Linked DNA regions of Mus musculus. The protein of the gene in region 1 interacts with the protein of each later gene in a pairwise test. Links are inferred from orthologs where the notes say so. Each region holds a gene or a part of one and is shown in the gene's direction. Other genes may lie near its edges. The genes, in order: Nfya and Gtf2a1.

Evidence for each region.
Region 2: the proteins of Nfya (region 1) and Gtf2a1 interact in binary tests that used the Homo sapiens proteins (3 or more experiments, as listed by UniProt). The two-hybrid records come from large-scale screens. The link is inferred for Mus musculus from reciprocal best matches to the Homo sapiens genes NFYA and GTF2A1.

Annotation. Positions count from the first base shown.
Region 1 is NC_000083.6:48,406,920-48,411,403, reverse strand, and holds the start of Nfya (nuclear transcription factor Y subunit alpha), read left to right. Parts: upstream 1-1,583; 5' UTR 1,584-1,778; intron 1,779-4,484. Other genes in the region: ADP-ribose glycohydrolase OARD1, read right to left, coding at 1-140, 500-538. UniProt on the Homo sapiens protein: Component of the sequence-specific heterotrimeric transcription factor (NF-Y) which specifically recognizes a 5'-CCAAT-3' box motif found in the promoters of its target genes.
Region 2 is NC_000078.6:91,586,599-91,590,962, reverse strand, and holds the start of Gtf2a1 (transcription initiation factor IIA subunit 1), read left to right. Parts: upstream 1-1,313; 5' UTR 1,314-1,398; coding exon 1,399-1,428; intron 1,429-4,161; coding exon 4,162-4,263; intron 4,264-4,364. UniProt on the Homo sapiens protein: TFIIA is a component of the transcription machinery of RNA polymerase II and plays an important role in transcriptional activation. TFIIA in a complex with TBP mediates transcriptional activity.

The DNA of each region.
Region 1 (4,484 bases):
CTTAACAGTTCCTGCACCCCTCCGAATCTCTTCTTGAAGAGAACAGCTATTCCAGCACCCATTCGACAATCCTCACTGATACAATGGGCTAGAGAGTCTGTTTTGGGACATGCGAAAAGATCTCCTTTCACGTAAGTGATCTAAAACGTGCAAAGGAAAAAAAAAAAGGTTAAAAACAGAAAACTATTTCTCCTTTCAGATCTTCAACAGAGCCCCACCCCCACTGCTTCAACCCTGCTTCTCTGACACTCTGAATTAAAGACAACTCTTCCCAACTTAGGAGTTAACCACGATATTTTAAAGTATCTGTAAAAGGAAAGTGATGGATGGTTATTATCTGCCTAGGGTTGTATTAGCCTTTTCTAAGTAAATCAGCTAGAGAGAAACAAACAGGGAGGGGCGAGAATCCAATTATTGGTTTAATTAAAAAGTGTTTATGCTTTTGACCTCAATTATTCTGATTTTCACTTCACCGATAAATTTAATAGCTGTTACGCACTCGACTTCCTTCTGGATCTTCATTAAGGCGGGTGGCCATGCTACTGAGTCGCTATTTCCAGAATTTAAGAGTTCCTTCTGCTAATGAAAAGGAAAAGCAAGTAAAAAAATACCGCTCAGGCAGCCCGAACATAGCGTGTTCAGATCACCCTGACAACCCATTTAGTCTTCCCCACCTCCTTAAGGTATTCTTTCTGGATGTGAGCTCACTCAGCCTCTAAGAGGCAACACAAAACAGCTTTCCAGGAGCCGAAGCAAAGGCGGTCCTAAGACACACCTCCTTACTTCTAGCAGGGAAGGTTTAGGACAGTCCAGAATTTTCCCAGAGAATATAGCTTAGAACGGGAAAGACCTGGCCACAGTTACACTGAGCGGCAGGGTGAGCCGAGAACTGCTTCTCAGGGGAAGATCACCACCAGTCTTGGAGGTACAGGAAGGAAGGTCTGATAAGACTTCCCCGTCTCTCCTCCTACCCTAAGGAGGGCAACCCTGGGATCCCGCAGAAAAGTGGGTACTGGGGGGTCATCCTTCACCTGCAAAGGAATCGGCCGTCAGCAGGCCCTCCTCCAAGCAGGGAAGGGTTCGGGATGAAACCCTCGTAGGTAGGAAAGCAACAGAAGAGTCCCGACACGCAACAAATCCCGCCAAAGCCTTTTGATTGTACGCACACTCAAGATGGCCGCCCCCATCCCTTAACGGGGCGGAAGTGAGCCTCTCTAGCTGGGTAGCGGCGCCCGCTCTCGGTAGTAAGGGCTTCAGAATTTCCGGCGGGAAATTCCGTAGGCTCCCGCTACCGCTCAGGCATGCGTACCGAGATGCCGACCCCGACTGGAGAAGAAGAGCGCTTGCGCATTCGGCCCCAGAGGGTGGGTCCCAGTGGACGCTTAGAAATAGGTGGGCAGGGGGGCGTGTCAGCGCCTGCGTGGTATATAATTCAGGGAGGTGTTTAAGCAGCAGCGTACGGAGCGTGTGAAAGGCGCCTGCGTAGGCCTTTGGCGGGAGGCGGTGTCAAATCCAGGAAGTGGGTGTGGCCTCTGGAACGCCTGCGCGGTGCTCTTCCTAGGGGGCGGGGCCAGGCTGGCCGGGGTTATGGGGCGTGGTCTCGAAGGCGCTTGCGCGAAGGCGGTTGGAGGGAGGCCCGATTCCCCTTTGTTCAGATTCGCCATTTTGCGAGGCAGCGGCAGTGGCGGCGGCAGCGGCGGCTGGAGCCTCTGATTGGGTTTCGGGGTCCGGTACTGGAGCCAATCAGCGCGGGCAGCGAACCGGGGGAGCGAGGCACGGTGAGTATGAGGAGCCAATATCCAGCGGCCCAGAGCCGGCCCCAGCGCCCCGATTGGCGGGTCTCGCTGACCACTCAGGAGAGGCCCAGGCGTCCGTCGAGCCCGGGAGTCGAGCCGAGGCTGCCCGAGCTGGGTAGCCAGTAGCCCCGGCTCGGAGTTGGTGGAGGCCTGCAGGGGCCGTCCAGCGTTGGGACGGCGTCCTGGAGCCAGGCTTTTCGGGATCTGGATCGTCTCCGGGGGCCGGTGGCGGATGCGCCACCGGTCCCCGATCCTCGGTCCCGAGAGGTCAGGTGGCTGACCGCCCAGCCACGGACCGTGGCGGTTTCCCCACGTCGTTCCAGCCTCATCCTACGGCCTGTCCTTGTGTGTCCCCACATTCCGGGCCCCGACGAGGCCCGTGTGTCCTGAGCTCTGCACAGTTGGGGCTACAGATCCGGAGCGAGGCCAGACTGAGACGCGCGGCGCGGCCTCCCAAGACCCACCCCGGGGCCGTTGGCGCGCCTGCCGCGCCCCTCCTCTCGGCCCGCCACCGGGGCTCCCGGGCCGGCGCCGTTACCACCCCTTTCTGGCTCGTCATTTCCTCCCCGCTCAGCCCGCGGTGCCGGCACACCTCCGTGCTGGAGCCCAACCAAGCACTCTTCCTCTTTTTGCTCAGTGTCTCGGTGTTTGAAACGCCGCTGTTGCAGAACTGATAACCCTTGTGCATCCTTAATGATTGGGGGCACACATCTCGCAGTTCCTATTATCCCTGTCTCCTCCCTTGATCTTTTCTCCCTTGGATGCTCTCTGGTTTTGTTTTCCTTTAATCTCTCCACTCAATAGCTCGGCCCACTCGTGTCTCTTTTTTCTAATACACCTTGAAATCCCGCGCGAACGTTTTCTCAACTGATGTTTTAAAACTTACACGTGCTTAGATTTTCTTTCCCCCTTCGGGGGACAGGAAGTCTTCCAAGGACTGCTAGCTATTAGTCTTTGGCGGACGTCACCCAAGTGCTGCAAGCGAGTAGGGCTAGGAGCTATGTCTGCTCGGTGGAGATTGACTGGTGTTAGTGTTTCATAGGGATCTGATCCAGTACCCAGAAGTGCACTTTACATGAGGAAGCCTATTTTCAGCGCCACGCTTTTGATTGGTGATGGAGGGTGATGTCCTCAGAGAGGAAAGACTGAAAAGAGTAACTGGAACAGATAGTGCGGTTGGACGCAGAAAGGCCGGGAGTACTGAGTTTAGGCGGGAAAGTCCAGTTGGTAAAAACCTTTGCAGGTCTTACAAAGGAATTTTTTGAAAACGGTTTTGACTGGAGGTTAAAAGTTAATCTAGAGTGGATTTCTCCCCTAACCTTGGGGGTGAAGGTTGCTGACCTGAGGATTCTACCCCATAGTCTTGTATTTGGACTGGGTGTTCTAACTTTGATTGGTATTTAAAAAAAAAAAATGGATGCATATGTCCACCTCAAAACTGCCAAATGTTTTTGTGGACAAAAGGCAGTTCTCCTCAGTCACTGTGACTCAGACCTGTGGAGCCTCCACTGGTTCCTCTGCATCTGCACTTTAAGAAAAAGTAGTGCAGACTCTCGATTTCTCTAATCTAATCACAGCCCAGGCATCTCCCTTTGTTTGAAATACTTCACCCTATACTACCTTCATCTGGGTGAGATCTCAGACTTAAACCTAACTCACATGACACCCTTTCCCAGTGCTTTCCTTGGTTTGTCCCCAGTGGAAAAGCCTCTGTCCCCCAAACTCCATTTACTGTATTTCCCTTTAGGAGTCTAATACACATTTTTGTTCCTTTTTAGACTTAAAAGCCTCTTTGAAGTTAACTTGTTTTGTTATTTAGTTCATGCTATCTCCTTAGTGGAGACAAGGAGCACACTGGAGCCTTCAAAGGCCCTAGCTGGGTGTGTGTGTGTGATGCCAGGTCAGATGGACTGCGGTGATCAGATGCTTATTGTAGGAGCATTTCTGGGCATTTCAGCTTTTGAAGATTCTAAGTGCTGGCCAGCTACTTCTGTGCCATGTAAATGGGCAGGAAATGCTATGGAAGAGAATGTCTCAGAGGCCAGAATAAACCCATTCTCATTCCTATTCATTCATATTCTCACTTTCAAAAACACATTCACAAGTCTGTAGAAGAGCTAGACAGACTAAATCCAGCTGGCTCAATTCTGTCATAAACTTGGGCACAGAAAGCGTAAGGAAAGGAAGTGTGTCAGGTTGTGTCACAGTTCTGCTGGCTGAGTTGATGGAGGAAGGAGCATATGGCCGCACTGGAGCCAAGAAGTCGGCACCATGGGCAACCTGAGGGTTGTGCTCCAAGCGCCACCACTCCCTTATCAATGCAGAATGGCTGCTGGGTTTGAAGCTGCCTCCAAAGCCCAGTAGGTTTCAATGGCCTAAGAGTGGAGCATTTGTATCAGCAAGATAACTGAGTCAACTCCAAATGTTCCTTACAGCTATTCCAGCCCTCTTGCCCACTTCAGGCTCCATTCTGCATTTAATCTGAGACGATGCAGACTTAGGACATTTAGCCAAGAAGAAAGTTTTATAGGAAAGCGTCTTGGGGCTAGTGGAAGCGGTAAAATACAGAGGTTGTTAATATCTTAAAAAAAAAAACTTTAAAATCTAATCCTTGTATATCTGTATTTTGGTGAGTTTTTAAAGCTCTCCACACCTGTACAGTCCCACTTGAAAAAAAGGGTGAGAACT
Region 2 (4,364 bases), on another chromosome or scaffold:
TTTCAGATGTGGTTAGTCACTGTGTGCTGGCCAGTGTGCAAATCACAGCACTCTGGTAACATTAAAAACAGAGCAGTAATGTATGTCAGGGAGTCAAATATGTAGTAGTTGTATCCGAGTTCCTTTTCTTTTTTCGTCATTTCTACCACCCTAAGAAGTCATCTAAAGTACTTTTGAGTTGGTAGAGGCTGACTCTTTGGGGCATTTTAGCCAAACCACCTAATAGTTTAATTTTGTACAGACAAACGGCTGGAAACACCTACAGGCGTCCCTAATTCTGTAAAGTAGACAGAGGGAGAACAAAGCTTTCCTAGCCTTTGGACTTATACACAACTTCACGAGGTCTGTCCTTTGCAAGAGGCGCGAACTTCCTCCTCATCCGACCTAAGCTCACGAATCAAAAGATGACTCCGCATTTAAAAACTGTCCCAAGCCCCAGCGCGCGGGAGCCGGAAGCCGCGCCACGTGACCCGCCGTCCCTCCGCAGCCATCCTCCGGGGAAGCCTATCGCTTCGGCGGCTACTCCCACTCCTCCGCTCCACCGGAGCGGCTGCGCGTCCACCCGACGCAGCGCTAGGTACCCTTGATCGCTGGCTTCCCTCAATACCCCAGCCTCCTCCGGAGGACGCCTCCCGGTCCAACCGGTCGCCACCACCACCGCCACGGACCGCTTCCGCCAGGGTGCGGACCACGTGATCGCGCGAGCCATAGGGGGGTGGGGAAAAGGCCGCGGCGCGCGCCTTCTTTACTCCAGGCCCGCGGCCCCGCCCACCCGGCCACCCAGCCGGGGCGGGGGGGAGGGGGGGGAAAAGAAACCTGGCGACGCCCCGGGCGCGCGTGCGCACGCGGTTCTCGCGGTGTCTCGCGCTCGGCCCCGCCCCCCGCTGCCCCCGCCCTTTCCGCCCCTCCCTCCCTCCGCCCTGTCTCTCGGCGGCGGCGGCGGCGGCGGCTCGCGCAGCTCGTTGGCTCGCTATATAAAGGGGAGAAGCAGGCGGACCGGACGGCTGGAGCTGCAGCCGGTGGCGGCAGCGGTGGCGCGGGGAGCGGTGACCGGTGTTGGTTTCCCTCCTCGGCGCCGAGTGGGGAGCGGGTGACGCCCCCTAACCCCCTAAGGGGTCGTGGCTAATTTTTTCCCCCATTTTTTCTTTTTTCTTTAGGCGATTCTCGAGGTTTTTAGCTGCGGGAGGAGTGCCCCCCTCCTCCTGCTCTCCCGCCTCTTACTCCTTCTGGATCGGTTTTGTTGAGAGATTTTTTTTTTTTTGCCCCACTCTTGGCGGGTGACTTGGGTCACCCTCCGGGTCTCAGTTGTTTTTTTTTTTTTTTCTTTTTTTTTTTTTTTTTAAATTTTTTTTTCCTTTCTTTCTATCTCGTTCCCTCTTGTTTGTGTTGTGTGTGGAAATGGCGAACTCGGCAAACACAAACACCGTGGTAAGGACGTGGTGCGGTGGCCGGCGGGGGCTGCGAAGGTTCCGGCGGCAGGCAACGGCTGGCTGGGACGGACGGACGGACGGGCGGGCGGGCGGGGGCGGGCCCGGGCGAGGCGGCGCTCCCGACCGGGTCCCCTCCGCCCTCCACCGCCGCCGCTGCCCGCCGCGGGCCTGGCCGGGCGGGGGGGACGCCGAGGACTGGCGGGAGGAGGGCGGCGGGGGCCGGGAGCGCCGCGGGGCGGGCCACGCAGGCCGTTGGGGCCCTGGCTTGCCGACCCCGGGGCGCGGACGGGCGGGCGATGGCCCCACGCGGGGACCCGGACCCGGCCAGTCCCCGAGCGAGCGGCTGCGGGTCGAGCCCCGCGTCTGGGGAAGCCTCTCGGATACCGCCGAGGCCGGGCGTGCCTTCGGGGGCTCTCCGGAGGTGGTGCTTTGGGAGAGCCTCCTTTGGGGCCGATTTTACTAATCCTCCGAAAGGAAAGAAAGAAAGAAAAAAAAAAAGACAAAAAAATTATGAAGGTTGGAAAGCACTTATCTCGGTTCCTCCCCAGTGGGTAAAATGGCGAAGGGGAAGCAAAACCCCCGCGGTATCTTCGACTAGCCTAAGCACCAGAACAAACAAAGCCTACATGAATGGCCCAAGAGTCCCCGCTTTCGCCTCGAGATTTGCCTACTTCTTCCCGTTGCTCCCTTTTTTAAAAAGGAGCAAAAAAAAATTTTTTTTTGGTTACTTGCGATCACGTAGGTTTGCAAAAAGCAGTCACATAAAAATAACCTTTTAAAAGAGTCACCAACGCAATGTGATCACTAGGCCACCCCATCTCTTGATTTCTTTTTATGACAATAAAGCACAATATTTGTTTTTTTGTTTGTTTATTTTTAAAAAAAATTTTTTTTTTTCATTTTGCCCGGTCCCAAACGCCGCAGAGCAGCCTGCGGCTGCCCGACACTATACCGTTGGCGACTCGGGTCGATCCATCATGGCTGCGGCCGCTTACCCTGCTTTTCAGTGCCTGCGCCTTGTGGTCCTCCTCCCTTTGGCTGCCCTGTTTATATAGAGCCATTGCCGCTCTCTAATATAGACTCTGCCAGGATGGGAAGGTGCTTTTCAGGCCTACGTCACCGCCTCTCCATTTAAACACCAGATCCGGCTTTAAATAGTGAGAGCTGCTGAGCGCGGGGCTGGGAGGTGCGTGCTCCCGAGGCGAGAGGAGCCGGCGTGCGGAGCTCATTTTATTTCTAGGCTCCTTTCACGCCGAGATTTCGCTCCGGAGCCGGGAGGCTGTTGTCACGGACCCGAGTGTTTTGCTGTGGCCGCTAGAGTGTACTGCCTTTGTTTGTAGTGGGAAGTAGGCCAGAATTGCAGCCTCGTTTTGTTCTTTCTCCCTTCCCTTTATAAGAGTTTCATTTTAAATCGTTTTAGATCAGATAAAATGATTTCCTCCCCCCCACCCGCCCCCTTGGAGGAGATACGGTCAACATTCTCGGCTTAAAAAAAAAATGCGTTGTACATTAAATGTTTCCGGAGGAGGACTTGAGTTTGGTGGTGTGTTCTTAATACCCAAGGCATGAAGCTTTTCAAAGAAATAGTGACTGACTCTCCCCTGTGAGATCTGTGCTCACAATCTATTGCTTGATGTGTGTGTAGAGGCACAGCCTAAACTGAGCTTTAAGAATTAAAGATTAAGTGGTGGTTTTAATTTTACCAGTGGCTAGCATGGTATCTAGTATAAAAATCCACCTAGGTGACCTAATATTGTGCCTAAAAATTAGCATCTTCTAAAAGGAACCTTTATTAATCACTTGCTAATGCTACATGCAGTCTCTAATTCGCCAGTTTCAGAGTTTGGAATACTGTTTTAAAAGGACAGATCTAAATGACCTTGTATGCCATAAAGACAAAAGCCTGCTGCAGTGAAGTTTAGAATTTAGCATTTCCCTTTTTCCTTCAACAACGGCGCTTCTGAATGGGTTAAGTTGTAGGCTGGTTGCTGAATGATTAATTACATAGTAGCAGAGAAGGGCATTGCCTGCTTCAAGTGTTGGACTCTCCAAGGAAAGGGTTTTAGGGTAACTGATTTCAGAAACATTAAAACATCTGGTTTGCTGGAAATTGATCCTACTAATTTAAAATTACATGGCCAGTATAGAGTTTAGTGGTGTAGCCTGAAGGTAGACCAGGACAGGGAAAAAAACCAAGGTAGCTTTTGTATAATCAAACGCTGATAAGACTGCTGGGTATGACCAGGAGACGACTTGTGAACAAAAAGTTCCCCAACATCTAAGACCTGGAAAGGCTGTGAGATGGGACAGGCGTTAAATCAAGCAGGGCTAGTAGGAACCAGGAGTGACCATGAACTGTTATTAATCATGATGGTAGACATTTTGGTCACCATCAAGGAAATTACTGGAATTTGTGTTGACTGTGCATAAAGAACTTTGGTTTATGAACTACTTTGCCCAGCCTTACAGTTTTCTGTCATTGTCAAATTTAGTTTACAGTGTCTCAGTATATTGATCAGGCTGGCCTGGAACTCTGATATCCTCCTGTCTTTGCCTCCAGAGTGATAAGCCTGGCTTAGGATTGTAGTATCTTTAATTAAAGTCACAATTTAAAATAAATTTTAGATAGTTGGCCAAATGGCTTGTATTTAATAATTATTTAATTATTTCTCAAAGCCTACTATAACATTTTGAAATCAGTCTTTTATTGAATCTTATTTTTCCTTTAAAGCCTAAATTGTATAGATCTGTGATTGAAGATGTTATTAATGACGTACGAGACATTTTTCTGGATGACGGAGTGGATGAACAAGTCCTGATGGAACTAAAAACTGTGAGTTTGTCTCTTTTTAAAAGAATAGTTCAGTAATAAAGAACTTTTCTATAGGATGAATGTTTGACTTTAAGGAGAGACAGTATAGTGCAGTGAAGGGT